7 linked regions of the Cricetulus griseus genome follow. The protein of the gene in region 7 purifies or fractionates together with the protein of the main gene of each other region. This does not show direct contact. Links are inferred from orthologs where the notes say so. Each region holds a gene or a part of one and is shown on either strand. Other genes may lie near its edges. The genes, in order: Polr3e, protein POLR1D, Polr1e, Rpap2, Polr3g, Polr3f and Polr2f.

Region 1 (4,324 bases), on a different chromosome or scaffold from region 7:
AATTATGTTGTATCTGTCCTTCCTGCCATTAAGCTGTAAGCTACACAGTCTACTTTATGTCTTGCTGTACTCCTGCTCCCTAGAACTGGGCACCTGAAAATGTGGACTGTAGGATTCTTGGAGCTCCACAAGGATTCCAAGCAACGGAAGGGGGGGATGGGCTGGTAGGAAATGGGCCATCACAACAGATCTGAACCATCTAAGCACAGTTCTGAGTGGCTGCCACTGTGCATCTGCACTGGCTGCCAAGTGTCACAGATATGGGTCAAACAAGTACCTGCCCTTTAGGCAGCTGTACTTTGTGGCCAACTGAGACAGGACTTCAGGGGGAATCAATGAAACACAGCACATGCAAAAAGAGGCTGTGGCCTAAGAGAGTCTTCAGCTCTAGTTATTCTTTCACGGCTGAGATTCTGCCAGTCTTGGAATCAGGCAGGATCAGGTGCCCTCTCTGCAGGATGACAGAGGCTCCTCCCTCTGGGCACCACACCTGATTGGGTTACCTGCAAAGGTCATCACCTCTTGTTAGCCTCCCAACCAACAGGAGCCAATTCAGTGGCTTTCAAAGTTTCAGCCTATGACTGACAATAATCTTTTCCCAACAATGATGCAGAAGATACATGGAATGCCACAGCTGAAACAGTACTTCATGTAATATGATTGTTACATGCCACACAGTGATGTTTTCTATTTTCTATCCTTGCCTATGCAAAATAAAAATGCTGGTGGCAAGACCCCCAGGCCAAGTTTACATCACTCACTAATACATTTTTTGGTGGTGTTTTTTTATTTTCTGAGACAAGAGTTCTGTAACAGCTCTGGCTGGCCTTGAACTCACAGAGATCCTCCTGCCTCTGCCTCCCAAGTGCTGGGATTTAAGGCGTATATCACCACGGCCCAGCTCACTAAGTCTTAACCTGCAATCTTCAAAGTCAACAATCCAATAAGCCTCCTGAGTCAGCTGTGGTGGCCCAGGCCTGCGATACCAGCCCTAGGGAGGCTTAGGGAGGAAATTTAAGGCTTAGGAGAGAAATTTAAGGGCATCCTAGGCTATTATATAGCAAGGCCTCATCTGAAAAAAAAAAATAATAATAATAATAGACACAAAACAAACAAAAAAAGCTAAAAAAAAAAAAAAAAAAAAAAAAGCTTTCGTAGGGCCATTCTTTCCTATCTCTCCAGAGGACCTCCCGTCTCTGTAGTAACTACTCACATTGCTCTCTTCTTGAAACCCTTCAACTGTACCATAAAACAAAACCCAAACTCCCTTTCATGGGCCTGTAAGCCCTTACACGATCTTGCCAGGTTCCACATAACCATCTCCTCAGGGACTGGTAATCTATCACTGAGCCTCCAACAGGCCAATCCCCACGCATCCCGAGGACCTCTGCACAAGAATCCCAGGTCATTTTCAGGATGCTCATTTTCCTTAAATGTAAGCATTGCCCCTCCCTCCAGGACTAGACAGGTTTAGTGAAAACCCAATTTGAATAGCTGCCTCCAACTCTTTCCACCATTAACACAATCCCTTATTTCCTGAGTGGTCCTAACCTGGAACTTCTCTATTTGCTGCTCAGGTGTTGGCTATCCTCTGCACTAGACTTTGAACTCTACGAAGGCTTCTCTATGCTTCATATTCCTCAACCATCAAGTAGACATAATAATTATACTTCACCGTTGTTATAGGGTCATTACTTGTAAAATTAAAAAAAAAAAAATTCACAGCCCTTCTCCTAAACCCTAATGCTGTCTGGCATCAATATACTACCAAAAATATTCATTCTCATTAGCTGTGCAATTCAAAATTTATAGTGCCCAACTTATGATTTGCCCAAGGGCACAGCCCCAGGGAACAGTATAATCAAGAAATCCGTCTAGCAGGTGTCAATGAGTCTTGATTTTATTCTTAACCACTATGCTGCACACATCTTTGATAAAAGGCAGTATGGTGTAGTGGGTAAGAGGTCGGACTCCCGTGCGAAACCTTACAGGTTCAAATCCCACCTCTGCGCAACGTACCAGCTGACAGAAAGCATGAATTGCATAACCTTGGGTCCTTTCCTATTTTCATCCCTAAGCCGGCAATAAAAAAAAAAAAAAAGCACCGGCTTCAAAGAGAAAAGTGGAACATCCATGAATGAATGACTGTTGCTACGTGGCAACATGTTTTCTTCAAATAGGATGAAACGAAGACAGCCACAAATGAAAAGCAGGAGATGTCACCCATCTTACCCTCTTGTAACAGGAATCACGTTATCCCCATTTCGCAGATACCTTTTCGCTCCGAAACCCAGAAACCCTAAAGGCAATTACAACTGCAGGACGACCTGGTTTAAGCACCGCCACCCCCCGTGACTGAAGAGTCCCAGGGTCTGAGGAGCAGTCGCCTTTTGACTCTGCTTAAGCACAGATCAATCAATGAGGCGCCCCGGGCCCGGCACCACCAGCAAGGGTTGACCCGGTTCAGCTAGGACGCAGACCCCGGCCCATGCGGGCGGCCCTGACGTCCCATAGCTTTCTCCATGTCGCCGGTGCTCAGGCGCCCTTCCCACACCTCCGAGAGCCGCAAGCTACCGGGCACCAGTGCTCTCGCAGGTGCGGCTCCGGAGCCAGGCCCGGGCGGGGCAGCGCGGCCGAGGCCTGAGTCAGCGCGGGCCCCACGGTCGTCGCCTCCCCGACGTCCAGCCGTGCGGAGCGACCGGGAAAGCGAGGCGGCTGCCCGTGCGCCCCGCCCGGGTCCCGGGAGGCCGCGGCCCCTCAGCACGCAGCGGCGCGGGCCTCTCCGGCCTACTCCGCAGAGAGGCCCAGACCTCCGCGCGAGTGCGACGGCTGCGGCCGGAACCCCGGGGCTGCCGAGTCGGCACTCACCTCTCAGCCAGGGCCGCGCGCGAGCGGCGGCAACGGCCCAGGGACCCGCGGGCTGCAGAGACGGTGGCGGCCGGGTCTCCTATTAGGCAGCGGCCATGTTGCTGCTGGAGAAACTCCGGCGGACACGTGGGGGGAGCGGGGCCGGCCCTCGCGCTTCCTCTTACCCACAATGCCCCGCCCCAGAGCGCGCGGGCCCGCCCCTTCGGCGAGCTACTCGTGGTGCAGAGAACGAGAACCAACTGCAGAGGTCGCCGCTGGGGCGGCAAAAAGTAGCTCAGGGTTAAGGTAGGAAAAAACACTGATCCTGGCAGCGGTGGGATTCGAACCCACGCCCCCGAAGAGACTGGAGCCTTAATCCAGCGCCTTAGACCGCTCGGCCACGCTACCCAGCTGCTCATCTGGCCTTCTAAGAAGCTACTTAATGTTCTAACACATGCATACATTTTTTTTGTTTGTTTCTTATAATTTTTCGGGGGTTGTATTTGTGTTTTATCTACTCCTGATAGAAATTGTCACAAACAATATTGTTAAAACGCCAACTATTAAAATTAAATTATTTATATCCGAGCTTGTTCCAAATAAGCTTTAAAGCAAAAAGCAGTTTAAATCGCGTTCTGATGGTTAACGCGTCCAGTTAAACCACGCCGTCACCTACACAACCCGAATTAGGTGTCTTGGAGACTGATCCTGGCAGTAACTCTCACCCCAGCTCTGAGAAGCGAACCATGACCCCACATCTGCACAGTTCTGTCTGAAAAGTCACGTGTTTAAATTTTTAGTACGCAAACAATATTAAAACTTCGCATATAATCTTCGTAATATTCAACATAATAATTCTTTAACCTTTGACTTGCTTTAGTTTCCTCGTAACCACCATTATCGGCTGATTATACATCCTTTCGGATCTTTCGCTGTCGGTTTCTATGGATGTGTATCTCCATGGAAAAACAGTTTTGTTCATATTGTGTATGGGTTGGTATATAAATATTTATTAACATACTAACGCATAGAGAGCTGGCTAGTTTTTTCACCAGGCTTTTCATTTTTCTTTTGTTTTTACCATTTGTAAGTATCTATGCATGTTGATGTACACATACAGGCTTTTACATTTATTTTATTTATTTGTTTATAGGGGCGGCATGTTGTGGAGGTCAGAGTACAGACTTGCTGGAGTATATTCTCTCTTCCCACCATGTGGGGGCGGCTTAGATTGTCTGCCTTGCAGGCAAGTGTCTTTACTCGCTGAAACCAGCCCCATACGTTAAAAGACTGAAAAAGACACAGTGAAAAAAGTCACCCATATTCCCACCACCTAGAATTAAACTCATTCCTGCATATACTTTTGCACATACATATGTGTATTTGTGGTTTTGAGTTAAGGGCTCATTGGGCCCAGGCTGGCTTTGAACTTGTTATCTAGCTAAAGATGCATTTGAACTCCTGCGTCTCCTGGTCC
Region 2 (4,691 bases), on a different chromosome or scaffold from region 7:
GGACTCAAGAGCTGACAGATATTTAGGGCAAATTAAGTCACACTTGGGTAGGATACTTACAAGACAGACTGAAGAAGAGATAAACACATGATTCTTGAATGTGATATGCTTTGCTAATCTTTTAAGTTTCCAAAATGTCATTTCTTCCATACAGAATTCTCCTCCTCCAAATTCTGACTTTCTATCAAATAGTATCTCTTCTACCTAACCCTGGGCTCTATTTACATACCTACCTAAGGAATGAAGATGTTACCTGATAAGTCATTTTTTTCCATTAAAATTGGGGCCAGGGAAACAACTCAGGTGGTAAAAAACTTGCTGTGAAAACACAAGGATGGAGTTCAGTCTCTAGAACCCATATAAAAGAGTTGGGTAGGATGATGTGTAGGTCTGTAATCCCCGGTGCTCAGGAGACAGACACAGGTGGGGCCCCTAGGGCTTTCTAGTCAGGTAGCCTAGTTAATTAACAAACTCCCTTCATCCCAGCATGTGGGAGATTATTAAGGCAGGGGCAAGTAAATCTTTGAGTTTACAAAGTGAGTTCCAAGCCAGCCAGATTGTCTCAAAACAAACAATAAGTAGGTGGTTCCTGATGAACCAACCATCCTTAAGGCTGATCTCTGGCCTCCATATGCATACAAGTGTCCACACGAACATGCCCACACAAAACAATAAAAAAGTATTCGGTTTACTCATCATAATTCTATATTTCATGAGTGCTCTGGAACTCAAGCAGTAAACTGGTTATCTATCCTACAAATACTACAAAGATGGACCTTGATGCCAATTCAAATTCTCATGAAGAAAGCAACAACAAAAAATTCTCATGAAAAGTTAAAATTCTCAAGAGTCCTTCTAATTATCCTCATCCTTACTAGGTCTACCAATCATATGAAAGGATGCATTTACATTAATAAAAATCCAGGGCTGGCAAGATGGCTCAGTGGGTAAAGATGCTTGCCACCAAGCCTGACAAACTCTAAATGGATCCCATATGATGGAGAGAATCAACTCCCACAAGTTGTCCCCCGACTTCCACCTGTGTCATGGCATGCTGGTACACACACACACACAAAGTAAATGGTTAAAAAAAAACTCAAGTCCCTCTGCCAATCTTTTCCTGCCTTTTTAAATACAGTCTACGGTTTATGTTTTATTCCATCTCCCCTTCCTCAGCACTCCAATCATACAGAAATGAATAGCCCTTTTAATATCCATGATCAAGCCGGGCATTGGTGGCGCACGCCTTTAATCCCAGCACTCAGGAGGCAGAGGCAGGCGGATCTCTGTGAGTTCGAGGCCAGCCTGGTCTCCAGAGGGAGTGCCAGGATAGGCTCCAAAGCTACACAGAGAAACCCTGTCTCGAAAAAAACAAAAACAAAACAGACAAACAAACAAACAAAAATCCATGATCAAAACCCTCAAATTGGCCCAATTATCCGTTCACTTTCTGTGTTGGTCCAAGTAAGGGGTGGCACCATCCTTGGGGATCACCTAGGTACAAGGAAGAGAAACCACTCAAACTAGTTTAAACAAAAGAGAGAATTTATTAGGCAAATATACTTGCAGAGATTCCAACAGCTGTAATGGGTCAACAGCTGGAACCACACCTTCCTATAAGACAGAACATGCTTCAATCACAAACTCTAGCTTTGGGATCTGCACCATCATGAGGGTGATCCTCCTTGTACCCTGCACGAGGGACTAGAAAGTGGGTTCATTTCTGCTTGCCTTTTGATCCTTATAATCCTTTATGCTGGCCTCAAACTTGTCAAGCACATGTTGGCAGACATTCATGAGCTCATTCAGGCCTTTCTGAAACGGTTCAACAGCTGGAAGGGTACCCCGTGTCTGAATTCGCAAATTAATTTTGCTCTCTGAAGGATGGGTCGTAGTGTAACCACAAAATTCCACTTCCGGGTTCTTCATGATCATGTACCGAAGAGAATTTCCTAGGGTATGGTCCTCCTCGTGCAGTACAAATGTCACACACTGTCTATCTGTTCCAGCTGCCTGGACCATTTCCAAGGCTGTCTTCCTCTCGCCTTCGGCCATTGAGGTCTTCAATCCTGACATTTTTCTACACACATATTTTTTTGTAAGAATGAGATCATATGGGATACCATTTTGTGATTAAGCTTTTTAAGATTCACCACCTCAGTTTCCTGCCTCCGATACTTCTATACATAAATATTTAACTCGAGTTTCTCTCTACTCCATTTGATATATTGCCCACAAGGGGAGTCATCTCAGAAAATAAACACAAATGTTTGCAAAATCTTTCTTTGAATAGAGAAAAAGAAAGGGGCAGAGTTATAATAGGGTAGGCCCTGCTGAAAGATGAAATGGGAGTTGACAGGCATAAAAAACACGATTACTTTAGCATAAAAATGGCAACCACAAGTTATTAAGGTGGCAGGCTCAGTTATGGCTTCCCTTTGAAAGAGGTAAGGAAACTAGTAAGTCAAAGGAAGTGAAAAGTTTAATAGGAGGAAGAATTTGGCGGTCAGAAAGAATTTACGAGCAGTCTGCAGAGCGGAGTTGCAGTAACTTTAGCCGACTTAACATGCCAGCACCGCCCGGTGCGTGACCTTACACGAGGCAGTTCTAATGGGGATGGCAGTTTGGCACTTAGAGCTGGATTCCCAACTTCTCTCCCCTCCAGGATGGCTAGTGTCCCTCTGAGCTTTTCTGTATAAACAAACCCACCACCGCTTCTCCTCCCTCTTCCCAACCCGCTCGGCTCTACTCTCGATCTTCCCTTGCCCAGCGCCTCGGGTCAGGCCTAGCCGCCCCGCCGGGCCGCAGTCGGCCGCGTGCCCGGTCGCTACCCGCTTCGCTGGCCCGGCCCGCCGCCCCCTCCACTCTTCCCCTCCAACCTTACCTCTCCAGCTCCTGATCCTCTTCCATCGCGAGGGGCGGCTCCAGGAAATCCTCAGGTGGTGCTGCCGAAAAGGACGCTCTTCCCCATATCGCGAAAGATGCGGGCGAAGCAGGAAGGAAGAAACCACCGACGGAAGAAGCGGATGACGGAAGGAGGGGGGCGGAGCCGCAGCGGCGCGGCAGGACCCGATGGAGGGGCGGGGCGAAAACAGAACACGCCCCAGCCACGCCCCGTGCGGGCCGGACCGCTCACCTGGAACTGCGGAAGCTAGGAGGCTACGGTGCAAGCAGTCCCTCGCCTGTCGCCCCCAGACACTGCTGTTTAGGGTCGGAGTTGAACCTCTCATCTGCTAGACCCACCAGGGACGGTACTGCCCCGGGACTGTCTTCCCCCCCCCGGACTGGAGTCCTTTGGAGCCTTTCGTAGGGCACCTTGCAACCTTGAAAAAGCAGAGAGACTTGTGTGCAGAGATGACTCTTCTGACCATACTGAGGTTTACAGGGAGCATTTTTCTCCCTGGGGTGCAAATGCACATCTCCATCAGGTGCAAGGCAGCGTTTGTCTTTCTTTTCGGAGAGAAGTATGAGTTTGGAGCACCGCCCTCCTTCCCCAGGAGCTCGGGTTTACCCACTGTGGACCTGCGGTTCCTTTCCCCTTTGATCCCAAGGAGCCGCCCTTCTCTTCCCCTCAGGTGCATCCTCCCAGTTCCCACCTGACCCTGGCCAGGCTGGGTCCCCGCCCCACCCCAGCTGTCCTCTAGCGCACACCTACACGTCAGCCACCCCGCACCACCTGTTCTCCCTCAGCCTGGTCCCGCAGCCCTCCCCTCCCTTCAGCTGTCCCACGGCCGGCGCGGCGCTCCGGGGTGCAAGCAGACACTTCCCGAGCGTCTTCTCTGTGTGTGTCTGAGAGAATCCGGCCGGGAGCGATGGCGGAGGGCGGAGCGTGCTCACTCTAACTCGGGAGTGATGAGCAGGGCCGGTCTGGCCCCTCGAGCTCCTTGATTGGCCGAAAGACTCAGAGCCCGCTCTTAGTCCCGCCTTTCTCCGCCGCTGATTGGCTCAGGTGCGTGTCGGGTTGGGCCCCTGCGCTCGCCCCCGAGGGGAAAGGCAGCAGGGGCGGTTGAGAAGTGAAGTCTTGGCCGGACTTTGCTTCTCGCCAGGAAATCGGCGGCGGTGAGTCCCGGCGGAGTGGAGCCGGGCGGCGTCCTCGTCAGCGCTCCTGCGAGGAGCCCGCCGCTTTCCCTGAGTGAGTTACTTCGCCTCAGGTGCGGGCGGTGACAGGGTGTGGCGCTGGGGTAAGGGGAACCGCCGGGGGCCGCGTGGAGTCCGGCCCGGCCCGGTGCGGGTGCGGGTTCCCGGCGCCGCGCTGCGGGTCTGCGCGACGCTCGCTTTTTAAAACGGGGAGCTCTGGGGACGAGTTCTTGCACTTCGCGTCTGCACGTTGTCGGGAGCTAAAGCAGCGCTAGCTGGCTGCCCTCTGGTTTTGTTCCCTGGAAGAGATGAGCAGAGATCCTTCTCCCCGCCCCAGCCTGTTGCGGGAGAATTCTCACCTTTCCCTTCAGGCTAGAGACAGATTTGACGTGTTTGGGGGAAGGGGAGGATCATTTCCAAAATATGCATCTCAGTTTGGAAGCATTTGCGCACAAAAGCACCGCTTGGGAAACATTTCTGGCTTTCCAAAGCTTTCTGCCACGTTTCACACAAGGACTTTTTAAATGGAGTATTGGAGTATTCCCGTTTACGTTTAAGATTGTGTGTTTGCCAGAAGCCTAAGGACGCTTCCGCATGGCTTTATCGAATTAATT
Region 3 (4,433 bases), about 280 Mb from region 7:
TAAAAAAAATATTGCTGGGTGGTAGTGTCGAACACCTTTAATCCCAGCACTCAGGAGGCAGAAGCAAATGGATCTCTGTGAGTTCAAGGCCAGCCTGGTCTACAGAGCGAGTGCCAGGACAGGCTCCAAAGCTACACAGAGAAATCCTGTCTCAACCCCCCCCCCCCCCCGCCCCGCCCCACAAAAGGTTATATATCCATATACCTTTTCAAATTAAAAAGAAAAAAGAAAAATGAGAACACTCGGCAAGAAGGCATCCTATTATGGTTGAGGATAAGCTGTGTTTGCCAAATAGACACCAAGTTCTGAGTTCACACCCCTTTACCATATAAACCTCTCACCATACACAGCACTCTCAAGTTGATGGCAGGAGGACCAGAAATCCAACGTCATCTTCAGCTACCCAGAAAATTCAAGGGTCTACATGAGACCTTCTCTCAAAAAGGTATATGTGGAGGAAGCCATTTAGAAAAAAATTACAAATGCCTTCTAGAAAACAAAAATGAACTAATCCAACAAACCCAAACGATGTATTTAACTGAATATTCATTTAACAGAGTATTCATTTCCGGAACCTACCAGCAAACAGTGGCTGCATGTTGAACAACTCAGCATCATATACTTCCATCTGCCCAGAGGTCTTATTCAGAATTCCCACAAAGTGTCTGAGGAAAAAAGTAATGATACAATAGTAGTTTAACCAAAAGGTTATTATTTACACAATCCTCTCTTTTTCCTATTCACATATCCCTAGCTTCTTTCTGCCAGAAAAAGGCATCCACTTGCTCACATGTAACAATAATCCCTGCACGGAGAGGAAACAGTAGGTGATGAAGAGGAAGGAGACATAAAATGGTTGTGGACTGAAAAAGCCACCAGATGGTTCTGATAACCAATCACATTTAAAGTCCCAGCACTTGGGAGGCAGAGGCAGGAGGATCTCTTGAGTTCGAGACCAGCCAGGTCTACAAGAGCTAGTTCCAGACAGCCTCCAAAGCCACAGAGAAACCCTGTCTCAGAAAACAAAACAAAACAAAACAAAACAAAACAAATTTAAAGCCACTGCTGTTAATGGAAACCCTTTTGAGGTAATAAGAATCTAAAATTAAACAGAATTTTGGCATGCATAAATTCTTCAGGCTGGATGATGCTGTGACACAGAAGACACCAGAGGTGAGCGAAGAGCAAAGTTGCCAAAGTCATTCACTCTGACAGTGCTGGAGGGCTGCTTTGTTCCAACCCAGAGGCCTTGAAGATACAAAATCCTCTTGTCCCAAGGCAAACTTGAGGCAAGCTTTGACCTGATGATCACACATTCTAAATCAGCAGACATAGCTGTCTTTTGGGATAGGACAGTCATACATAATGTCATAATGAGGTCTTTAGGAACTCGACAAACGCAAGCCATCTTTTCCTTTCTAAGGGTGTCTACACAACAGTATATGGAATTTGTGAGTCTAGAAACACAAAGTCTTAGCAAACCTGCAGATCTCAACTACCTCCAAAATGAAGACTGAAGATAGTGTTGTCTCTGTCACTACTACAACCCTCCTAGCACCTTTGTCACTGCCCAGTTGTCCATTACCTGCAAAGAGTGTTGCATTTGAGGGCGCCAGTCCCAAAATTGTTTCCAACATAGGACAGCCTGTCTGTTTCTGCTGCCTGAAAAACAAAGGAGTGTCCAATTTACAATCAGCACTGGGCATGGCCTCCTTTTGACGTGTATAGAAGTCTTAGAATCCAGGACCAAAATGACCAGCCCTAGATATTCTCCAGGTGACCTACCCCATCATATCTACAGGAATCTAGGGTGTCTCTGGGGGACCCCAAATACCATAAGGAAGCTTCAAAGTGATAAAGTTCTGGGGGGGGGCGCCACCTGGGATTGCATGAAATTAAAAAGCTTCAAACTGGGCGGTGGTGGCCCACACCCTTAATCCCAGCACTGTGGAGGCAGGGGCAGGCGGATCTCTGAATTGGAGGTCAGCCAGCTATGTCTACTCAGTGAGTTCCAGTATAGCTAGAGCTACACGGAGAAATCCTTTTTCCCAAATATGTGAAAAGTCATCGTTTCACCCAAAATCTTGCACCTTGGTGAAGCCACAGTCCCATTTGCTTTCCTCCTTTTCTCCCCTCAGGCCCTCCCATATCTGCCCACACCAAGGGCCTTCTGAGCCCTGCAGAGCCCAGACTACCTGTACCTGCAGCCCTTACCAGGATCCGCTGATTCTTCAGCCTGGGGTTTACCAAGTCGTTGCTGTTGTACAAGGTGAAGCGCATGTTGCCTGGATTCTGCAGCTTCCCATTGGAGAATTGGACTGTAAGTGTAACCCAAGAATGAGATGAGGGCAAGACCAGCAGAGTGGGGTGGCTTAGAACTACACTGTGGTTGGGAACCCAGGGCGAAGGCAAGAGAGCTCATGTCCCACTTTTAGGGAGACTGAAGGAAGTCCTGGTCCAGTACTAAAAAAAAGGAGATGGGGAGGGGGTGGCCTCTGTGCAGAAAATGACGGAGGGAATGTCATTAACTAGCAGAAGAAAGGGAACTCTGCTCCGTGGAGGGGAAAATGGGCGAATGAGAGACCTGGTGAAATCTCCAAGTCCTGGGCACTGCCCTGAGAAGTGTCCTCGCATGTGAAGTCACGACAGAGGAAAGGGAGGATAGCGGAGGCTCTGTCCCAGCTCCAGGCAGTGGGCAGGAGGGCTACGCGGTACCCAGATAGAAGGGGATAGGGCTGAGCGAAACTCCGCTCCGGTCCCGCAGTCTTTACCCAGCACAGCTTTCTGCCTGTCGTCAGGCTCCCCACAGTACAGCCACCTTGCACTCTGTTGCACCTCTGTCTCCATGTCTCTACTCTGGCTGTCCAGCCCGGAAGACTCCAGTGTAGCCATGAGCTCTCCGGCTCACACGCGGACGCATACACCGGAAGTGACACTCTGAGACCTGCCCAGAACACGCAAAACGCGAAACCACGCCTCTAGCGTGGTGGAGCTTCGTCCCGGACCACTCTTGGCTCTTTCCGCGGTGGCCACGCCCCTGGTAGGAGGGCCTCTTCGAGGTGCAGTACCTGATTGGCTTAGTGCTCCCGCTTACGCCCTAAGGTTTAGCCAAACGCCGAAACACAGCGTCTTCAGCCTCGGTTTCGCGTGGAGCTGCCTCTGACTTATCATCATCTAGGTAGAGGACTGTCTTTCTTCTCACCTTTCCAAGACCTGATAAGGCCAAGTTGAAATTTAGAATACTCAGGCCGTGCGTTGGTGGAGGCACTCGGGAGGCAGAGGCAGGAGGCTCTGTGGGTTTGAGGCCAGCCTGGTCTCCAGAGCGAGTGCCAGGATAGGCGTGTTCCCTGAGGCTGGAGAGATGGCTCAGTGGTTAAGAGCACTTGTTGCTCTCCCTCGGGTTCAGTTCCCAACAATCTTGTTAGGCAGGGCAGCTCCAGCTCAGGTAACTGGAGATCCTATTTCCTTTTCTGGCCTCCTTGTCACCTGAACACACATGGTCTCCACAAGCACATTCACACACACACACACACACACACACACACACACACACACACACACACTCACACACTATGCTTTGCTTTTAGCTGTCACAACTCTGACACACACACACACACACACACACACTATGCTTTGCTTTTAGCTGTCACAACTCTGACTGGAAGGTTACTTTCTTTGATCCTACCCAAGTGTTTTCAATTGATTGTTTTCAGAAAGGAAAAGGAAAGAGATGAAAGAGGGCTTCATTCTCTAATTATTCATCAGCTTCTTCTGTCAGTCTTTTCCACACTAAGCTTATTGGAACTTAATAACTAATTTTGGAGCTAATTAGAAACACATTTCATTTTAAATTATTTATTTAGTTAGTTAGATAGTTAGTTAGTTGCTAGCTAGTTCCCAAGAAGTAGTGTGTAGTAAAACAAAACTGCTCATTTGGTGGCCAAGTATGAAGGGGAAAGGGGCTGAGGTCCCTTATTCTCTTTAGGCTCAGTCTGTCTTCAAATTCCCACCTGAGGGTGACTATCAACTCCTCATCCTTCTGCCCGGTGCTGAGATTATAGACATGTACCACGCCAGCCAGTACATTTATTTCTTTCCTTTAACTTCTGCACCTCCAACTCCTGGGAGGTCCTGTGCAAATGGAGATTTTCAATAAATGTTCAATGAGAATGCTGGCAAGATAGCTCAGTGGATAAAGACACTTGCCATCAAGCTTGATGGTCTTCCCAGGACCCACCTAGTGGAAGAAGAGAGCTTACACAGTGTGTACAGGTGTATGTAAATGTAAAACAAATGAATATTGAACAAATGAGTGAAAAGCTAGGTGATAGGTGGGAATATTCATGAATCCTTGGAGTCTAGGGCAGGGAGTGAATCTCAAAGATACTTAGTAATGTTCTTGAAACCAGTTAGTATAAGGATTATACATAGAC
Region 4 (4,395 bases), on a different chromosome or scaffold from region 7:
GAAATGAACCAAGGTCCTCTGCAAAAGCAACAACTGCTCTTCACCACTGAGAGCCATCTATCTAGTTACCCCCCATCCCCACCCCATCTTTCTGTTATAGCCCTTGCTGTCCTGGAAATCACTATGTAGATCAGGCCAACCTCAAACTCACAGAGACCTCCCTGCCTTTGCCTCCTAAGTACTGGGATTAAAGGCCCACACACACACACACACACACACACACACACACACACACACACACAAATCCAATCTACCTTCCTACTCTTATGCTGTTTATTTACAAGTAAAAAACAAAAAAAGCTGGAATTATAGATAAGGTAAATAATGTGAGTGACCACAAAGTAATTAAAGATAATCTATGCCCTTGCCATATTTTACAGGTGGTTTTAGAGAATTACTTACACATCTTTTTATTATGCACTGAAGTTCCTCAACAGCCATTCCTAATAAGTGTCCTAGTCTTGATGATGAAATGAATACAAAACACAGTTAGTTGTGATACTATGTAAATTATGTTTCATAAACTGTTTCATTCTGAATTAATAGAAAACACATAAATACAATGTAAATTTTTATAGCTTAAATGGTATTACTGAACGCTAGTGTGCTAGTCTACTAGAACATTTTTAAAGCCTCTAGTGTATTGCCTAAAGAATGAAAAGAGATTTAAAAAAGAAAAAGAACCCTAGAGAGAACTTCCTAGAAGAACTTTTTTTCAAAAGAGGAAAGTATTCCTTTCATGAAAAAAAAAAAACAAAATCAAAAACAAAAACGGTAGACCTGGCATAAGAATTCTAATCATTAGGGAATCTTTAAAATGTCCCATTGATAAATACTGAAATCCAACACAATTAAGTCACCCAAATAAGTTGAAGACTCTGACGCCCTTCACCCCATGCCCCACAAGACCTGCCCTCTCCACAGGAACCAAACCTAGTCAGTGAGATCACCGAACCACCCGAAGAGAAGGCCTTCGGTGGTGACCAGCACAGCATGCGGCCCCGGGGGCTGGTGGAATCGCTGCCCCCCAGGCGCGGACAGCAAAATCACACCCTACCGCGCCTGTGGGCTGAGCCGAGGGGGAGCCATTTCTCCCTGTTTCCCTGCCTGTTTCCCTGTTCCTACTGGGCAGAGCATCCAGGCTCCAGCACCTCGAGGGGCCTAGCAGGCGAGCCTCGCGCTGCCAGGGTCCTGATGAGCCAGCCTGGACCAGCCCTAGCCAGCTCGTCCACCTACCCGCCAGACCGCTCGCCTTCTCCACCTCCCGCAGCGCAGGCCTCACTCCTGGCCCCGCCCCTAGGTCGGGCCCGCCCCCTCCGGCGTTCGCCCCGCCTCTGGGACCCCGCCTCCTCCGGCGCTCGCCCCGCCCCTGGGCTGGGTCTTCACCCTTCGGCGCTCGCCCCGCCCTCCCTGGGCCCGTCCCCTCCGGTGCTCGCCCCGCCCCTGGACTGGGTACACCCTCTCCAGCGCTCGCCCCTCCCTCCATGGGCCCGCCCCCAGCACGGTCCGGAAGACGCATGGGGGGCGGAGCCTGGCGGCCGCCAGCGTCTCACCTTCTGACTGCGTTTTCCATGGCTGATTCTGCGGTTCCTTTCTCGCTGGGCCCGAGTGCCCCGGCCTCCAGCACCTACCGAAAGGCTGCAGGTACGAACCGTAGCCTCTTCCAGGTTTGGACCCCGAGACCCTGGCTTGAGTCTACACTGCGCGCGCGGGCTGCTTGCCCAGTCTGCCCCCGGGGGAGGGAGGGCTCCGAGTGGCGGGTGGCTGCCCCGGTGCCCTCGGGAAAGAATCCCGCGGCCTCACGCGGGTGTTCCGGGGTCTTCCCCTGCGTGGGCCGTGCTGGGGACCCCAGCACAAGGGGCCAAGAACAGGTGGTGTTCAGCCGCCTCGAATCCTGGACTACACCTCCTTTTGGACTGCTTTGGGGCCTGGTCTCTGAGGTATCAGCGCCTCTTTTTAGGCAAGCTATCTAGCATTTGGGAGACCGAGAAATGTTTATCCTAAAGCTTTAAGTTTTGTTTTGTTTTTTATTTTTTATTTATTATTTATTTTTGTTTTTTGAGACAGGGTTTCTCTGTGTAGCAGCCCTAGCTCTGTCCTGGAACTACCTCTGTAGACCAGTCTGGTCTTGAGCTCACAGAGATCCGCCTGCCTTCTGTCTCCTGATTAAGGGCATGTGCCACCACCGCCTGGCTTGTTTTGTTTGTTTGTTTGTTTGTTTGTTTTAAAGAAGTACTTGATTAAAGCTGATATGATACATGAAAAAAGCCAGTCCCCAAAGAGATTTTAGTCAAGAAAAATTGAGATGTAGTTAATTTACAGAAGCAATGGAGTTTCCTTCTTGTCTACCTAGAAATGAAATTTGTGAGAGAAAAGGAAAAGCTGCCCACAGTGTGTTATTTGGGTAAGACTGCTACATCAAATGTGTGTTTGCATTTGCTGTTATCTCTTCAATTGTAGGAACTAAACAGACAAGTGCCCTCCAACCAGAAGATGCTTCCAGAAGGTATAGCCACTTTCCTTTTATCTCATTAATTGGATCAGATTTGTTTGGTTTTATTTTCTAGTCTTGGGATTTGGGCATTGAACTATGTACTGAGAACAAACTTATGAGAAGATGTAGGGAGCACTAATAGTTCTCAAAACTTTAAGGAAAGCAAACTGGAGGCTAAGGCTGTTGGAAACTGTTGGAAACATAGTGGGCACACCATCCCTGAATTAACCAAGCATTCCTTCCCCATCTCTTCACATCCATGCTTACTGTTGTATATGCCAGACTCACTGGAACCCTTCGTCTCCTAGCATTAAATGCAGATTTAAAAACAAACCAAAACCACCCTTTACTATCTATCTCTCATGTCACAAAAGATCTCTAAGAGAGGTATTGTCTGTGAAGAGATTAAAAGTCTCCGTGACTCAACACTTCAAGATTCACTAAACTCTTCTTTCAAAATATTTTCCAAATACAAGATAGCCTGTATTTGGGTTAGTGCACTGGGACTGAGAAATGTCAGTTAAACTAACACAAATGAATATGTCATCACCAGTTGCAGTAAGTGTTATGAAGAAAAAGGAGATATGAGGCAGGGCTAATGATTTAGATTGGCAGGGGGTGGCCTGTGGGTTTTCAAGACAAGGCTTCTCTAAACCCTGAAGAGAGTAGGTGTAAAGCACACAGTAGGGATGAGAGAAGTTCAGCTAGGGGGATAGTGTGTATGAAGAGCCTGGGGTCGGGTGTGTATAACATCCCCAGAGGGAGGGAAGGAGGCAGAATTCTGTTCATGTACTATCTACTGTGTCACATGGAGAAATTTGGTTTGTCTGAGCACAGAACAGCAAGGCAGTGCTTGGATGTAAGGTTTAATTTAGGGCGAGGTGGTGTGGAGGGTTAGAGATGCTAGACGTATTCGAGAACTGTTCAGGAAAGCATTTCCTGTGGAGCTGCATAATACTTTGCATCCTAGGCCAGTACTCTACCACTGAGCTACACTCCCAGCTCCAGCTAAAATGTATTGTGAGCAGATTAGCTAGGATGACAAAGCAATCCATAAGGTAATGAAATGGTGATTGATAACAGGTGACGGATCCTCTTGATTTATTCTGACATAATATACTTCCAAGTTCAATCCAGCTAAAAAAATACAAGCAAAAAATGTACATCAGTTCACTCATTTAATAGAATGCATTTAAAAGTTAACATCTGACAGGCTTGGTATTGTCAAGTGAAATAAATTGTTTTTAATTTGTTTTAATCTGAATGTAGTAAATACCGACAGATATTATCCATATGTGAAAAAGCTCTAGTTTTAAGAATATAAAGGAATCCCAAGACCAGAATGTTTGAGTACTGCTTCATACACCACTGTCTTAGTCAGGGTTACCATTGCAGTGAGGAAACACCATGACCAAAAGCAACTTGGGAGGGAAGGGTTTATCTGGCTTATACTTCCACATCACTGTTCATCATCAAAGGAAGTCAGGACAGAAACTCCAACAGGGCAGGAACCCTGAGGCAGAAGCTGGTGCAGAGGCCATGGGGAGGTGCTGCTTACTGGCTTGTCCGAAAGGCTTGCTTAACCTGCTTTCTTATAGAACCCAGGACCATAAACCCAGGGGTAACATTACAGGCAATGAGCTAAACTATTCCCCCATCAATCACTAATTAAGAAGATGCCCTACAGGTTTGCCTACAGCCCAAAACGTTATAGAGGCATTTTCTCCCATCAAAGTACTAACCAGGCCCAACTCTGCTTAGCGTCTGAGATCAGATGAGATCGGGCATGTTCAGAGTGGTATGGCCGTAGACTATAGAGGCATTTTCTTAATTGAGGTTCCCTCCTCTCAGGTGACTGTAGCTTGTATCAAATTGACATAAAACTTCCAGCACAGCCATAT
Region 5 (3,896 bases), about 74 Mb from region 7:
TACAGATTCTCTGGTCTTTACACCATATTGAATGAATGCTGTACTTTCAAAAATATAGGTTTGTGGTTTGTATTTGTTTTTGTTTTTAATAAAACTATTTAGTTTATAATTATGAAATAATTAGTGGCTGTCTTTCCAGATCACAGAATATATTTTTCACAGAGTAAAATAAATTATATAATTGAATTTAGCTATAGGCCTTGTTACTTACGATTTAGTTAAATTAGAAAATGCACAATACCTTATATTAATTAATATTAATGTAGCATCGTGAGTGTGTCAGATATATCAAAGGTTTGTGAAAATTTTGTTCACTTGAGATTTTCCAAGAAAATTGACAGTTGAGAAATTGTACACAAGGTATTGCTGTAATAACTGCCAAGGCAACACAAGGTTTGATTTTAATTTGGTCTGCTTGAGTGAGGTGAGTTGCAAGCAAGATAGCTTGATTTATTTAAAAATTGAGTATTATGTGCTTAAGAGGTGGCTCAATAGATAAAGCATTCACTGTGCAACCATAACAACTGCAGCTCCAAGCCCCAGCATGCACACAACGTCAGGTGAGCCTGTAGCTACCTATAATCCCAGCACCTGGGAAACAGAGAGAAGGGATCCCGAAGGCAAGCAACGGGCTGCCAAAACTAGCCAGAACCCGTTTTACTAAATTAAATGGAGAGTGACTGAGGAAGATATCCAATGTCAGCTTCCAGTCTTCACATGCATGTCTACACACACGAACATATTAATGCACACCCGTGCATTCACACATATACAAACATTCAAAGGTGATCCATTTAAATTGGGTCTGTTTAATGTGGCCTTTTCTTTGCCTTTGATTTTCTTCACTTAAAATTGGAATTAAAATAATTTTTTGTTTGTTTTGTTTCGGTTTTGGTTTTTCAAGACAGGGTTTCTCAGTGTAGCTTTGGAGCCTGTCGTGGAACTCACTCTGTAGACCAGGCTAGCCTCAAACTCACATAGATCTGCCTGCCTCTGCATCCCAAGTGCTGGGATTTTAAAAGAATTTTTAAAGTAAATATTTAGGGAGTTAAAGAAGAGCTAAGTTGAAGTTATTCTGGATGTAAAATAGCTTTTCTTGTTCATGAGTAATTGACAAAGTCTTAAAGAGAGATGGAGAATGCCTACACATTTTTATTAGTTACTCTTCTAATTACTGGGTTAAGACCAATCAGAAATTAGTCATGTGAAGCCTAAATTATGAAGATGCAAAATGATTATTGTACCCAGCTCCCAGAAAACCTGTGAAATTCTGTCCCTTATGTAAAGTGAGGGTCATCTAACTTAGTGAACTGAGAGCAACAGAAATAAAAATGGGTCACCTTTGTCAATTGAAAAAAAAAAATGGCAGTCATGAGGTGTTTATAAAATTCAAATTGTGAGGTTGTGGCATGGTGAGTTTTCAAGTATCAATAGAATCATCAAGACTCCCCAACTCTGTTTCTCTTCCTTATTTCTAGGATGGCTCATAATGGCTGGTGTGTTCACTTACTTTCGTTTTAATCCCCTTTTCACAACCTTCCAGATGTATCACGAAGCAGAAAATCTTGGGAATGGGAAGTAATGAAAGACAAAGGAGATGGGAAGGGGATAAACTAAATCATGCCACACATTTTAGGAGGAGGTAGGATAGGAAACATGAAAAGCAAGCATTGTAGATTAGAATTCTAACCCCAGGTTAGCAAAGCCCAATGATTAAGTCACAAAATTGAAGAATGGGACAGCATGGTGGGTGACCTTTCCTTGAGTTTCTGAGGTGGGAGGCTGGCGGGCGTGTGTTAATTTAGGATTAGCCTAAAATGATCCATAATTCTTCTCTTTGGGCTGGGTATGTAAGAATAGTTGTTTCAGTGGAAATTAATGAATCTCCCTTTACCAGGAACTAGAAAAGAGAGGCGATGGTGAAAAATCGGATGAAGAGAATGAAGAGAAAGAAGGGAGCAAAAAGAAAAATAAAGATGGCGATGACGATGATGATGATGACAATGATGAAGCAGAGCAAGAGGAGTACGATGAAGAGGAACAAGAGGAGGTAAAAGTCTGAGGATGATGAGAGCTGCTCCCTAACTTCAGAGATATCCTATGGCATGGAATGTCAGTCAGCATACAAAACCACGCCTGTAATACTAGCAAACTCAAGAATAGGGTGCGAGGGGTTTGAGGAGCTGGGGCTACAAGGTGAGACCTTGTCACAAACACAAAACCCTAAGTTTATTGAACCAAAAATGCATTCTTATCCTGGCATCAGGTGCTTGGTATGAAATGATAGTAATACAAAATGAAAACCAGCAGATAAGAGTAACTTGATTGACAGCTTTTGCAAGTAAGGAATTAAGGAAATTGATGAGAGTAGTACAGTTCATACTTACCAACATAAGAAGCTAAGACAGCAGCTGAGGTACCAAAGGGCATAGGCACATACGTCTAGAAGGAAATCCCAACAAGGCCATCATGTCTCAAATTCCCAAGTTCATGTGGACAGAAGCAGTGTGACAGCTGCCGAGGTATTGGTAAACTAGGTTGCTTCACTTCAATTTTAGAATCAATATTTTTTCTATTTTTTTCACCTTTTTGTGATGTCTATAGTTCTCTTTCTACTGTTTTGTATATCTGCATTTAACATATTTAATCTCTTGTTGATCTCGTTCTTTGCTTTACAGAAGCTTCTCAGTTTTCAGAGGTCCATTTATTAATTGTTGCTCTCAGAGTCTGTGCGACTGCTGTTCTCTTTAGGAAGTGGTCTCCTGTGCCTATGCGTTCATGTGTATTTCCCACTTTCTCTTCTATGAGGTTCAGTGTGGATGGATTTATATTGAGGACTTTGACCCATTTGGATTTGAGCTTTGTTCGTAGCGATAAATACGGATCTTGCGTTCTTCTACCCATTGACAGCCAGTTATACAACACCATTTGTTCAATCTATTTTCTTTTTTCCATTTTATATTTTTAGCTTCTTTGTCAAAAATTAGGTGTTCATAGGTGTGTGGGTTGATATTGGGGTTTTCGATTCAATTCCTTTTGTCTACCTGTCTATTTTTATGCCAATACCAAGCTTTTCATTTTCATTACTATAGCTCTATAGTAGAGCTTGAAATCAGGGATAGTGATGCCCCCAGATGATCCTTTATTGTACAGGGTTGTTTTGGCTATCCTGGGTTTTTGTTTTTCCATATGAAGTTGAGTATTGTTCTTTCAAGGTCTGTGAAGATTTATGCTGGGATTTTAATGGGGGTTGCATTGAATCTGCAGATTACTTTTGGTAGGATTGCCATTTTTACTGTGTTGATCCTACCTATCCAAGAACATGGGAGATCTTTCCATTTTCTGATATCTTCTTTAATTTCTTTCTTTAAAGACTTGAAGTTCCTGTCATACAGGTCTTTCACTTAGTTGGTTAGAGTTACACCAAGGTATTTTGTTATTTATGGCTATTGTAAAGGAGATGTTTCTGATATCCTTCTCAGCCCATTTGTCATCTGTATATAGGAAAGCTACTGATTTTTTTTTAGTTAATCCTGTATCCTGTTACATTATGGAAGGTTTTTATCAGTTGTAGGAGTGCTCTGGTAGAATTTTTGGGGTCAGTTATGTATACTATCATATCATCAGCAAATAACGAGAGTTTGACTTCTTCTTTTCTAATTTGTATCCCTCTGATCTCCTTTTGTTGTCTTATTGCTATAGCTAAACTCCAAATACTATGTTGAATAGATATGGAGAGAGTGGACAGTCTTGTCTTGTTCCTGATTTCAGTAGGATCACTTTGAGTTTCTCTCTATTTAGTTTGCTATTGGCTGTTGGGTTACTGTACATTGCCTTTCTTATGTTTAAGTATGTTCCTTGTATCCCTATTCTCTCCAAAACTTTTACATGAAGGG
Region 6 (4,631 bases), on a different chromosome or scaffold from region 7:
AGAGGCCCTACTATGTGTTAAGACTGTAAAATATGTTTACACACTGGACAAACTGCAACACCCTCCCTCTTCCCCTAATACACCAAATGGCAAAGTGGGACCACAAAAACTGAATTCAGAAGTTTCCTTCTGTCATTTATTCAGTCTATTCTAGTCACTCACTAAACACCTATACTGTACCATTGACCCCCGCTGCTAAAGGGACAATTTGTTGACATAATTATAAGGCTGAGGATTGAACACAGGGCAGCATGCAAGCTAGGTGAGTGTTCTACCCCCGAGCTACACTCCCAGGGCAAAACAAATTCTAAAAAGGGAGCACAGAGATGATTTCAACACTATCTGGTTGGCTTTAAGAGAGAAACAAGGGTGGATACAAACTCAGAGAAATGACTACGGCGCAACCTGGGGGCTTCAGGTAGCTTCCTGGAGACAGCAGCAGAGCTGAGTCCTAAAGGATAACAAGGAAGCCCAGAAATCTCCAGCACTTCTTTTTCTTTCGGTGAAAACAAAAGTCACTAGGCCACTGCTTGTTTTCTTACTAATAAAACTTCATCAGAAAAAGCCACACCCACATGTGTACATATCCCTGTTCATGGCTTGTGGTTGCCTCTTGTTAAAATGACAAGAAATACAGTTGTGACAGAAACCCGATGGGACACAGAGGATATTTTATTACCAGTTCATACAGAAAGTTTGCCAAATTCTGATCCCTAGCCAAAGCTTTAGACAGAATACAAGGCAGGAAGTTTTAAAGTTTTAAGGACTCCTTTAACTAACTGCTAATAAAATAAAACCAAAATGCCCTCAGAAAATGGGAACTCAGGGCAGGCGTTGGTGGCGCACACCTTTAATCCCAGCACTTAGGAGGCAGAGGCAGGTGGATCTCTGTGAGTTCGAGACCAGCCTGGTCTACAAGAGCTAGTTCCAAGACAGCCTCCACAGCCACAAAGAAACCCTGTCTCAAAAAACAAACAAAAAAAAAAAAAAAAAAAAAAAAAAAAAAAAAAAAAAAAAGAAAGAAAGAAAAAGAGAACTCAATGGCTTGAGAAAGACAGACATAAGCAGATTTAAAGCATGGGGCAGTACTTGGTGGGGTTTTTCAAACATTGGAGGAAGTAGAAGCTTTAGGGCTTCAGGTTCTTGGGCTTCACTGAAAAATCCATGGCATTGTTTCTGGAAGCTGAGGCTATACTTCTTCCCAAAGACCTTCAGGGGGACTTCTCCCTGCTCTTGAAAAGCTCTGAATGACATTGTGATACCCAATGAACAGGCTATGTGATAACTCACAGAAAAATCACAATGGAAATATTTTATAGGGAATAGCTAGGTGCTATCAGCAGAAAGCAAAAGAAGGTGAGAACAAATTACATCCATGTGTGCTTTTGTGTCAATTAAGCTAATAATATAATTAACTATAACAGAATTGTACATATTTCTTCATCTTGTCAAACGGCACATAATTGTTTTCTCTTTCAATTCAGACAATTTAATCTTTCTCTGGTTTGGAATCAAGTCACAATCTTGGCTTTTCAATTAGTGTACTGGTTCACTAAAAAGAGGCTTACCATGCTATGATTACTTCATGTGATTATGTTGGGTGAGAAGTTTTGTAACATCCCCCCCTTCAAGCCAGAGACTCAAAAAGTCCAGTGGCACAGATCAATGGCATAGATCTGATGCATTAGCCTTAGAGACAGACTGTCAATGGTGTAGATGGAATCTGAAGGCCTAAGAACAAAGAGTCCTGAAGACAGAAGAACTCAAAGTAGGTCTGGAGTAAATTCCTTGGTCCTCCATTTATCTGTTCTACTTAGGCTGATACTAGATTGGATGGTGCCCACTCACCTACCCACTCAGTTTAACACTTCAAATACTACCACGTTCCAAAACATCCCAGAAACAGCATATAGCCAGATACCTAGGAATCTCATCTCCCTGTCAAGTGGACACATAAAGTTAACCATCACAATTATGTGACAGGAAGCAAGGAAAATCATAATATACAAAAAATTACATGAATTAGTTGAATTCACCTTACCATGGACAACAGTCTATTGATGGCCACTGCCCGTTGTTGGGCTTCAATGTGAGGCATTTCATTTTGAATTACTTGATCTGTGATTCCATGAGGGAACTGGTGGCACAATTCTATAATTCTGGGAATAAAGGTATTAATGATTTACGTTTGCTTGTTTCAAAAGGCAAATGAGGGAGATACATTATCAGTGGGAATAAGTACAACAAAATGAAGCCATTAGGTCTGTCACAGAAGGCAAATGTGGAATACGGGGATGGGATGTGTGGGATACACAACTGGGGTCTGTGTGCAAAATTATCCCTTCCAAACAAATTCAAATATCTCCTTAGGAGTAATAAATGTATTATCCACAACTGATGAGAAAGTTGCTGTCTTTTACCTACATTATAATTCAAAAATATCTGCACGCTACAGGGGAGTATTGGCTTTAAGGCACTCTTCACTCAAGTTACTTGGCTCAATGATGCTTTGAAATCACAAACTGAACCCTGACTTGGCCCGTACGTTCTCTTATGGAATTTCCGTTGGACACCAAGCAACCCTGAGATGGAACATGAATTCAAACATGACCAAGGACTACAGGGGAAATGCGGGTCTCTTTTCAGGCATTGGCCGTCGTCAGGTTCCAAGTGCGTCCTCACTACCCTAACAGAATCCTGGCGCAGCCAGTTACATAAGGTTCCAAGCTGTCAACGCTGCTCTTCAGCTACTAAAGAGTTCTGCTCTCCCAATTCCGGAGGGGGGCGTCTAGAACCCCGCAATTCGGCTCCCGCGTGCTCACCCGGCCCGCTCCGGCCACTAAGCGGGCCTACGAGAGAAGGGGTCCGGCTGCCCGGCTGACTTGCTCACCCTGAGTCGGGAATACTGCATTACCTGTTTTCTATTTCCACCGGATCCGCGTCCGGTGGCTGCACCTTCACCTTCACCTCAGCCATAAGGGCGGTTTTGGAGACCTGAGAAAAAGTCGCCCCGGGGGCCGGGGAGGCGCGCGCCCGGCGGCCGAGGGTCCTTCTTCGTCCGGTCGCGCCGGGCTTTCGTCAGGTCGGCCTGGGGCGTCCGTGCTGTGCCTGCTCCGCTCTGCTCAGCAGTGTCGCCACAAGGTCTCCTTTCTGCTGTCCGGAACTTCAGTGTCTGTCGGATTAAAGGCTCTGGCTCCCGTACGGTGAGTAGGAGCGCAACCTTTCAGGCCCTTCCAGCCGCCGAGAAGGCATATTCTTGGATACCTATAGCAAAGCCTTGCAGACGAAGGCGGGGGCGGGTACCAGACAGACTCCTCAGCCCAGAGACAAGGGCGGAGCTGGTTGCTAGGCAGTCGATTTCCCTGCCAATCATCGGCTCGGCTCCCCGTAGGCGGGCGCGGCTTGCAGCGTCTTTGGTAACGCAAGCTGCCGCAGAGGTGCAGTGGTGCAGCGGGCGTAGAAGACTAGACACACCCGGTTGGCGGCTGCTAAGGTACGTCGGGGGTCCTTATCAGTGTCCTTGAGGCTGGAGGAAGGTGAGGAGGAGGGCCTCACCCATTCGGTTGGGAGGGATTCAGGCGTCATTGACTGCCTCGCGAGTCCGAGGGCTTGACGCAGCGGGTCCTGGTCTGGGCATCGAGGAGATGGTCCAGGTGACGGATGTTGGGAGATGCTGGTGGCATGACACTGACAGCAGGCTGCGGTTTGGACTAGCGAATCAGCCTTCTTCATCTCCTCCTCGTGAGATCCATTGACCACCGCAGCCTTCCAAGAGCAGCTAATAGCTAACCGTGAGCAAATTAGTCTCTGTGTTTATTTAGCATCTAGTTTTTCGGCTATCTTTATTTTAACTGACTCACTGGAAAGGAAATGTCATCATAGGCAAATCCCTCCGCGTCCAGCCTCATTTCTGAAGGGTGAAGTACCTGTATTTTTTTTTTTTTTTATTCTTGGTCCTCAAACTGGCAATTCGTCTTTTAAAATCTAATTAGCCCATTTTTTCCAGAACAAGGTATGTCAAAACGCAATGTTCATTATCAGAATTCCAATTACCAAATTAAAAAAAAATAGCCTCACCATTGAACAGCAAATTATTATTGCATGACAAATTGTAATTAAAAATGAGGGTGAAAATGTTTATTATAAAAATAGGATGAATATGTACATTATAATTGAATAATTATGTAACCATATTGATTACGTAGCCATAATTGAAACAGCAGTGCAAGGTACAAATGCTGTGCTACGATAACTCCTCCCCACATCAAAGAAAAGACGCATAAGGTCTCTATCTGGATGTTATTTACAAAACAGTAGGAATAGGAATCTTGTGTTTATTGGTTTATATTCATGTCAGCTTCGTTTCTCCTGAGAACGCATGCTCTGCAGTCTTTGCAGCTTTGATTTGCAATATACTGCAATGGCGAAGGTAAGACTGTGGGGCGTAGACCTTCTTTTGAAAGCTGCCTCTAAATAATCCTTGATGCGTGCAAAGCTACTTGTTCCCTTATGTAATGAATTGCCTTGAAGTCGGGAGAGTGAGTGTGTATGTGTGCTCTGGCTGAAGGCAATGAAGAGCAAATAAATGATCTTGAAGGAACCAAGGACAGAATATTAGTGTGGATTCTGTT
Region 7 (3,523 bases):
GGTCTTGTATAGCCCAGGCTGGCCTTGAACTCACTGTGCAAGCCTCCTGCCTCCACCTCCATGGTTCTGGGATTATAGGTATACCCCACCATCTCCTGATCCACACACATCTCTACCACAGGATATGAAAGGCTCTTCCTGGGGTGAGGAAGCAGGATGCACAAGAGGGTCCATTGACAGAGAGGCAGGAGAGGAACTCCATCTCAGGTCTGTGAGGCAGACCAGAGAGAAGGCCATGGAGAACACTGTGTGGCACTGGCCCACGACAGCTGGACAGGTGCTTGGTCCTTGCTCCACTTGCTGACTTGCCCAGCAGGGCTCTGCCTGGGGACAGTGGGGGATCACTGCACCCCCATACTTCCTGCTAGGGCACCACTCCTGAAAGGGGATCTGAGTCCTTGATAAGAGCTCGAGGCAGGTCCCTAGGAACAATGGCTGGCTTGATGAGACCTGCTCTGTGATACTCCTGAGAAGGGAGAAGCCCCTGCAGCCAGTCCCCACTGGAAAGGAAATTGGGGGTTTCCATGGCAACAAGCTCCCTGGGCACAAAGACTCATCTGTCTGCTGAGAAGGCAGCTGAGGTGTCTCCCCTGCAGCAGCTTTTGCTCTGGTGCGTGGGGAGATAGAGGGAGGGAAGAGGGGGGGCCCAAGGGGCCAAGGGCCCTGGTGCTTCAGAAAGAACTAACAGTCCCAGGGCCACCTCAATGTGGGCCCACTCTCTGCAGCAGGACAGAAACAAGGAAGCAGCAGGTGGCAGCTCTGCAGAGAACAGGCATAGTTGGGTGGGAAGGTGACATTTATTATTTACATGTATAAAGTGGGTACAGAAGGGTTGCCCAGGCACAATTGGCAGCTCTGCTCAGTCAGTGATGATGAGCTCATCCACGCCCCAATCTTCATAGCTTCCATCTGGCAGGTAACGGCGAATGATGATTGGGATCTTCCGGGCCCTATTGTGGGGAGAAGTCACAGGACATGAGGGTTGGTGCCCTGGCTCTGAGCAGAGGACAGGTGGTAGAGATGTGTGTCACATAAATGCCCTCCTTCCACTTCCGGGGCCTGACTATGAATGAGCCAGAGATCAACAGAATCAAACACCAACTGCCCTACACAGACTGCCTGAGAACTGCATGCTGGGCTCTGGAGGAAGGGACCACTGTCTGAGGCACTTACTTGAGTTCCTTCATGGCAATGAGCAAAGGGTCTGTCTCCCCCTCCAGCTCCACCATCACAGGGGCACACATCCTGCAGGGACAGACACAGGAGATAAAGCTCAGAGAAGGTGACTACAGTGTCCTGATCCTCATTTAGCAAGGTCACCTAGGCAGGCAGTGGTGATCATAGTACTGCACAGGGAGCTGCCACAAAGCAGAGAAGACCAGCAGGTTGGATTTAAATTGTGCCTCCAAGGACAAGTCACTAGATTTCTCTCCACATCCCAATAACCTCATTTAAAAAAGAAGATATTCCCAGGAGTCAGAGGCAGGCAGATCTCTGTGAGTTCAAGGCCAGCCTGGTCTATAAGAGCTAGTTCCAGGACAGCCTCCAAAGCCACAGAGAAACCTTGTCTGGAAAAAAAAAAAAAAAAAAAAAAAAAAAGATATTCCCCGCCTCACTAGCAAAATGATGACCAAAACAAAACAAAAACAAAACAACAAAACAAAACAAAACAAAACCCTAAAGACTAGAAGATTCCATGCCACTCATGATTATCTACCTTGACATTCTCTATTTATTTGAGGGGAGACCTACTTTGACTATTTTTTTGAAAGGAAACTGAGGTACAGAAAGGTAAGTGACCCGCTCACACACAGGCCTTGCTCCTAACCACTGTGCTATGGCATATCCCATGTAACACACGATATCATCTAAGTGTGACACTCAATCAGAAAAGGTCCTTCATTCTGACCACACCAGTCCGACCTCACAAGCCCTTCACAGCAACTTCCCCAGAAGGAATTTAAATGTAAATCCAACCACTCTTCCAGCCTGGCCCCATCCATCCTCCATCCAAGCACCCTTAACAAACTTCTATGCCTTTCTCCTCCACTGTGTTACGGTTCTTAAGTGTCCCCTGTGTTCTTAAGTCAGCATGATTACAGTACTGGAGGAGGGTGGGACCGCTGTGAGGGTACAAGTGGCTTTATAAGAAGAGAACGAGAAGTCCAGGCAAGTGGGGTTGCTTGGTCCTACCATGTGGCACTCTGCTGTGTATTGTTGCAGCTTGAGGCCTCATCAGGTGCAGGTACCTAGTTCTTGGACCCTCCCACCCCCAGAACTGTGATCCAAATGTACTGAGCCAGGAACCTGCCTCATCTCAAGTACTCTGTCACAGCCACTGCAAAAAAGCTCAGGCACTTGCACATTCCATATCATTTCTCCTCTGAGTCCCTCTCTCCAGAAGCCTGAGACTCAGTGTCCCCACTCTGGAAATGACTGTCTTCAGTGCTCGTTACTTTACATATGCCTTCTGTGGCATCAAAGCCACTAGACTACTGTCCACAGCAGACCATGAGCTTCCAGTAGCCTAGGACCACACATGGCCACTGTGCGTGCCCAGACCCCAGCCGATGCTTGGTCCAAGCAGAGGCACCAACACCAAACAGGGAGATGTCAACTCCTAAGAAAGACAACTCTGATAACTCTGGATGGGCTTACACCAATAAATTCAGGGCTACTAAGAAGTACGCCAAATCCAGGGTCCATGGCTTCTCCAGATCATCAGGACAGATTTTGTATTTTATTTATTTATTTATTTATTTATTTTTTAAGACAGGGTTTCTCTGTGCAGCCCTGGCTGTCCTGAAACTGGCTCTGTAGACCAAGCTGTTCTCAAACCCACAGAGATCCACCTGTCTCTGCCTACTAAGCGCTGGGCTCAAAGGTGTGTGCCACCACCTTCCAGCTTCTTTAAAAGTTTTTAATTACTTTATTTTATGTGTATGGGTGTTTTGCCTTTGAAGGACATTGAGCATCCTGGAACTGGAGGAACAGATGGTTGTTAGTCATGTGGGTGGTAGGAATCAAACCTGTGCCCTCTGCAAGAGCAGCAACTCTTAATTGCAAAGCCATCTCTCCAGCCCTGGGACAGAATTTCTAATGAAGGGTTCTGAAGACTGTACTTTCAGACCTGCTGGGTGACTTTGGAGACCAACCAGTTTGAGAGTTACACTGACTATTTATTCTGATCTCTGCTATCCTCAAAAGCCTGAATTTTCCCAAAGGCAGAAACCAAGTGTCTTTCCTGAATAACAAAATGTACCAAAACATGGCCAGCAGTAGAACATGTAAGGCCTTGGATTTAGTCCTTAACACCAAGAAAACAAAAGAAATCCATCTTTATATAAGGCCTTACAGACCATGCATGGCTGTCCTGGCCTGCCTGAGCCTGGTCTCTCCAGATGGGACAGGAGTAACTGAAAGGCATCTTTCATCAGTGCCCTATGGACGCGCAAAGTTCAAGTGTGGGCTTCAAGTGACTCTGGTGCTGCAGCTACCACCAATCAACAAGCATGTCAACCAC

What was found.
Region 1: the proteins of Polr2f (region 7) and Polr3e purify together in Homo sapiens (affinity purification with mass spectrometry; 4 studies listed by BioGRID and IntAct, with this or other methods). This does not show direct contact. The link is inferred for Cricetulus griseus from reciprocal best matches to the Homo sapiens genes POLR2F and POLR3E.
Region 2: the proteins of Polr2f (region 7) and protein POLR1D purify together in Homo sapiens (affinity purification with mass spectrometry; 4 studies listed by BioGRID and IntAct, with this or other methods). This does not show direct contact. The link is inferred for Cricetulus griseus from reciprocal best matches to the Homo sapiens genes POLR2F and POLR1D.
Region 3: the proteins of Polr2f (region 7) and Polr1e purify together in Homo sapiens (affinity purification with mass spectrometry; 4 studies listed by BioGRID and IntAct, with this or other methods). This does not show direct contact. The link is inferred for Cricetulus griseus from reciprocal best matches to the Homo sapiens genes POLR2F and POLR1E.
Region 4: the proteins of Polr2f (region 7) and Rpap2 purify together in Homo sapiens (affinity purification with mass spectrometry; 4 studies listed by BioGRID and IntAct, with this or other methods). This does not show direct contact. The link is inferred for Cricetulus griseus from reciprocal best matches to the Homo sapiens genes POLR2F and RPAP2.
Region 5: the proteins of Polr2f (region 7) and Polr3g purify together in Homo sapiens (affinity purification with mass spectrometry; 3 studies listed by BioGRID and IntAct, with this or other methods). This does not show direct contact. The link is inferred for Cricetulus griseus from reciprocal best matches to the Homo sapiens genes POLR2F and POLR3G.
Region 6: the proteins of Polr2f (region 7) and Polr3f purify together in Homo sapiens (affinity purification with mass spectrometry; 4 studies listed by BioGRID and IntAct, with this or other methods). This does not show direct contact. The link is inferred for Cricetulus griseus from reciprocal best matches to the Homo sapiens genes POLR2F and POLR3F.

What each region holds. Positions count from the first base shown.
Region 1 is NC_048596.1:79,735,429-79,739,752, forward strand, and holds the start of Polr3e (DNA-directed RNA polymerase III subunit RPC5), read right to left. Parts: upstream 3,028-4,324; 5' UTR 2,869-3,027; intron 1-2,868. UniProt on the Homo sapiens protein: DNA-dependent RNA polymerase catalyzes the transcription of DNA into RNA using the four ribonucleoside triphosphates as substrates.
Region 2 is NC_048597.1:82,928,099-82,932,789, reverse strand, and holds the start of protein POLR1D, read right to left. Parts: upstream 3,012-4,691; 5' UTR 2,911-3,011; coding exon 2,885-2,910; intron 2,081-2,884; coding exon of another isoform or gene 1,705-2,080; exon of another isoform or gene 1,525-1,704; intron 1-1,524. Other genes in the region: Polr1d (DNA-directed RNA polymerases I and III subunit RPAC2), read right to left, coding at 1,705-2,080, 2,885-2,910.
Region 3 is NC_048595.1:98,430,289-98,434,721, forward strand, and holds the start of Polr1e (DNA-directed RNA polymerase I subunit RPA49), read right to left. Parts: upstream 2,942-4,433; 5' UTR 2,893-2,941; coding exon 2,772-2,892; intron 2,319-2,771; coding exon 2,215-2,318; intron 1,663-2,214; coding exon 1,586-1,662; intron 666-1,585; coding exon 580-665; intron 1-579. UniProt on the Homo sapiens protein: Component of RNA polymerase I (Pol I), a DNA-dependent RNA polymerase which synthesizes ribosomal RNA precursors using the four ribonucleoside triphosphates as substrates.
Region 4 is NC_048600.1:2,358,561-2,362,955, forward strand, and holds the start of Rpap2 (putative RNA polymerase II subunit B1 CTD phosphatase RPAP2), read left to right. Parts: upstream 1-1,502; 5' UTR 1,503-1,517; coding exon 1,518-1,644; intron 1,645-2,460; coding exon 2,461-2,506; intron 2,507-4,395. Other genes in the region: Glmn (glomulin), read right to left, coding at 403-460, 934-995.
Region 5 is NC_048595.1:302,134,034-302,137,929, reverse strand, and holds part of Polr3g (DNA-directed RNA polymerase III subunit RPC7), read left to right. Parts: intron 1-1,897; coding exon 1,898-2,050; intron 2,051-3,896. UniProt on the Homo sapiens protein: DNA-dependent RNA polymerase catalyzes the transcription of DNA into RNA using the four ribonucleoside triphosphates as substrates.
Region 6 is NC_048599.1:34,466,122-34,470,752, forward strand, and holds the start of Polr3f (DNA-directed RNA polymerase III subunit RPC6), read right to left. Parts: upstream 3,090-4,631; 5' UTR 2,977-3,089; coding exon 2,915-2,976; intron 2,160-2,914; coding exon 2,042-2,159; intron 1-2,041. UniProt on the Homo sapiens protein: DNA-dependent RNA polymerase catalyzes the transcription of DNA into RNA using the four ribonucleoside triphosphates as substrates.
Region 7 is NC_048595.1:376,267,894-376,271,416, reverse strand, and holds the end of Polr2f (DNA-directed RNA polymerases I, II, and III subunit RPABC2), read right to left. Parts: intron 1,246-3,523; coding exon 1,174-1,245; intron 951-1,173; coding exon 860-950; 3' UTR 779-859; downstream 1-778. UniProt on the Homo sapiens protein: DNA-dependent RNA polymerase catalyzes the transcription of DNA into RNA using the four ribonucleoside triphosphates as substrates.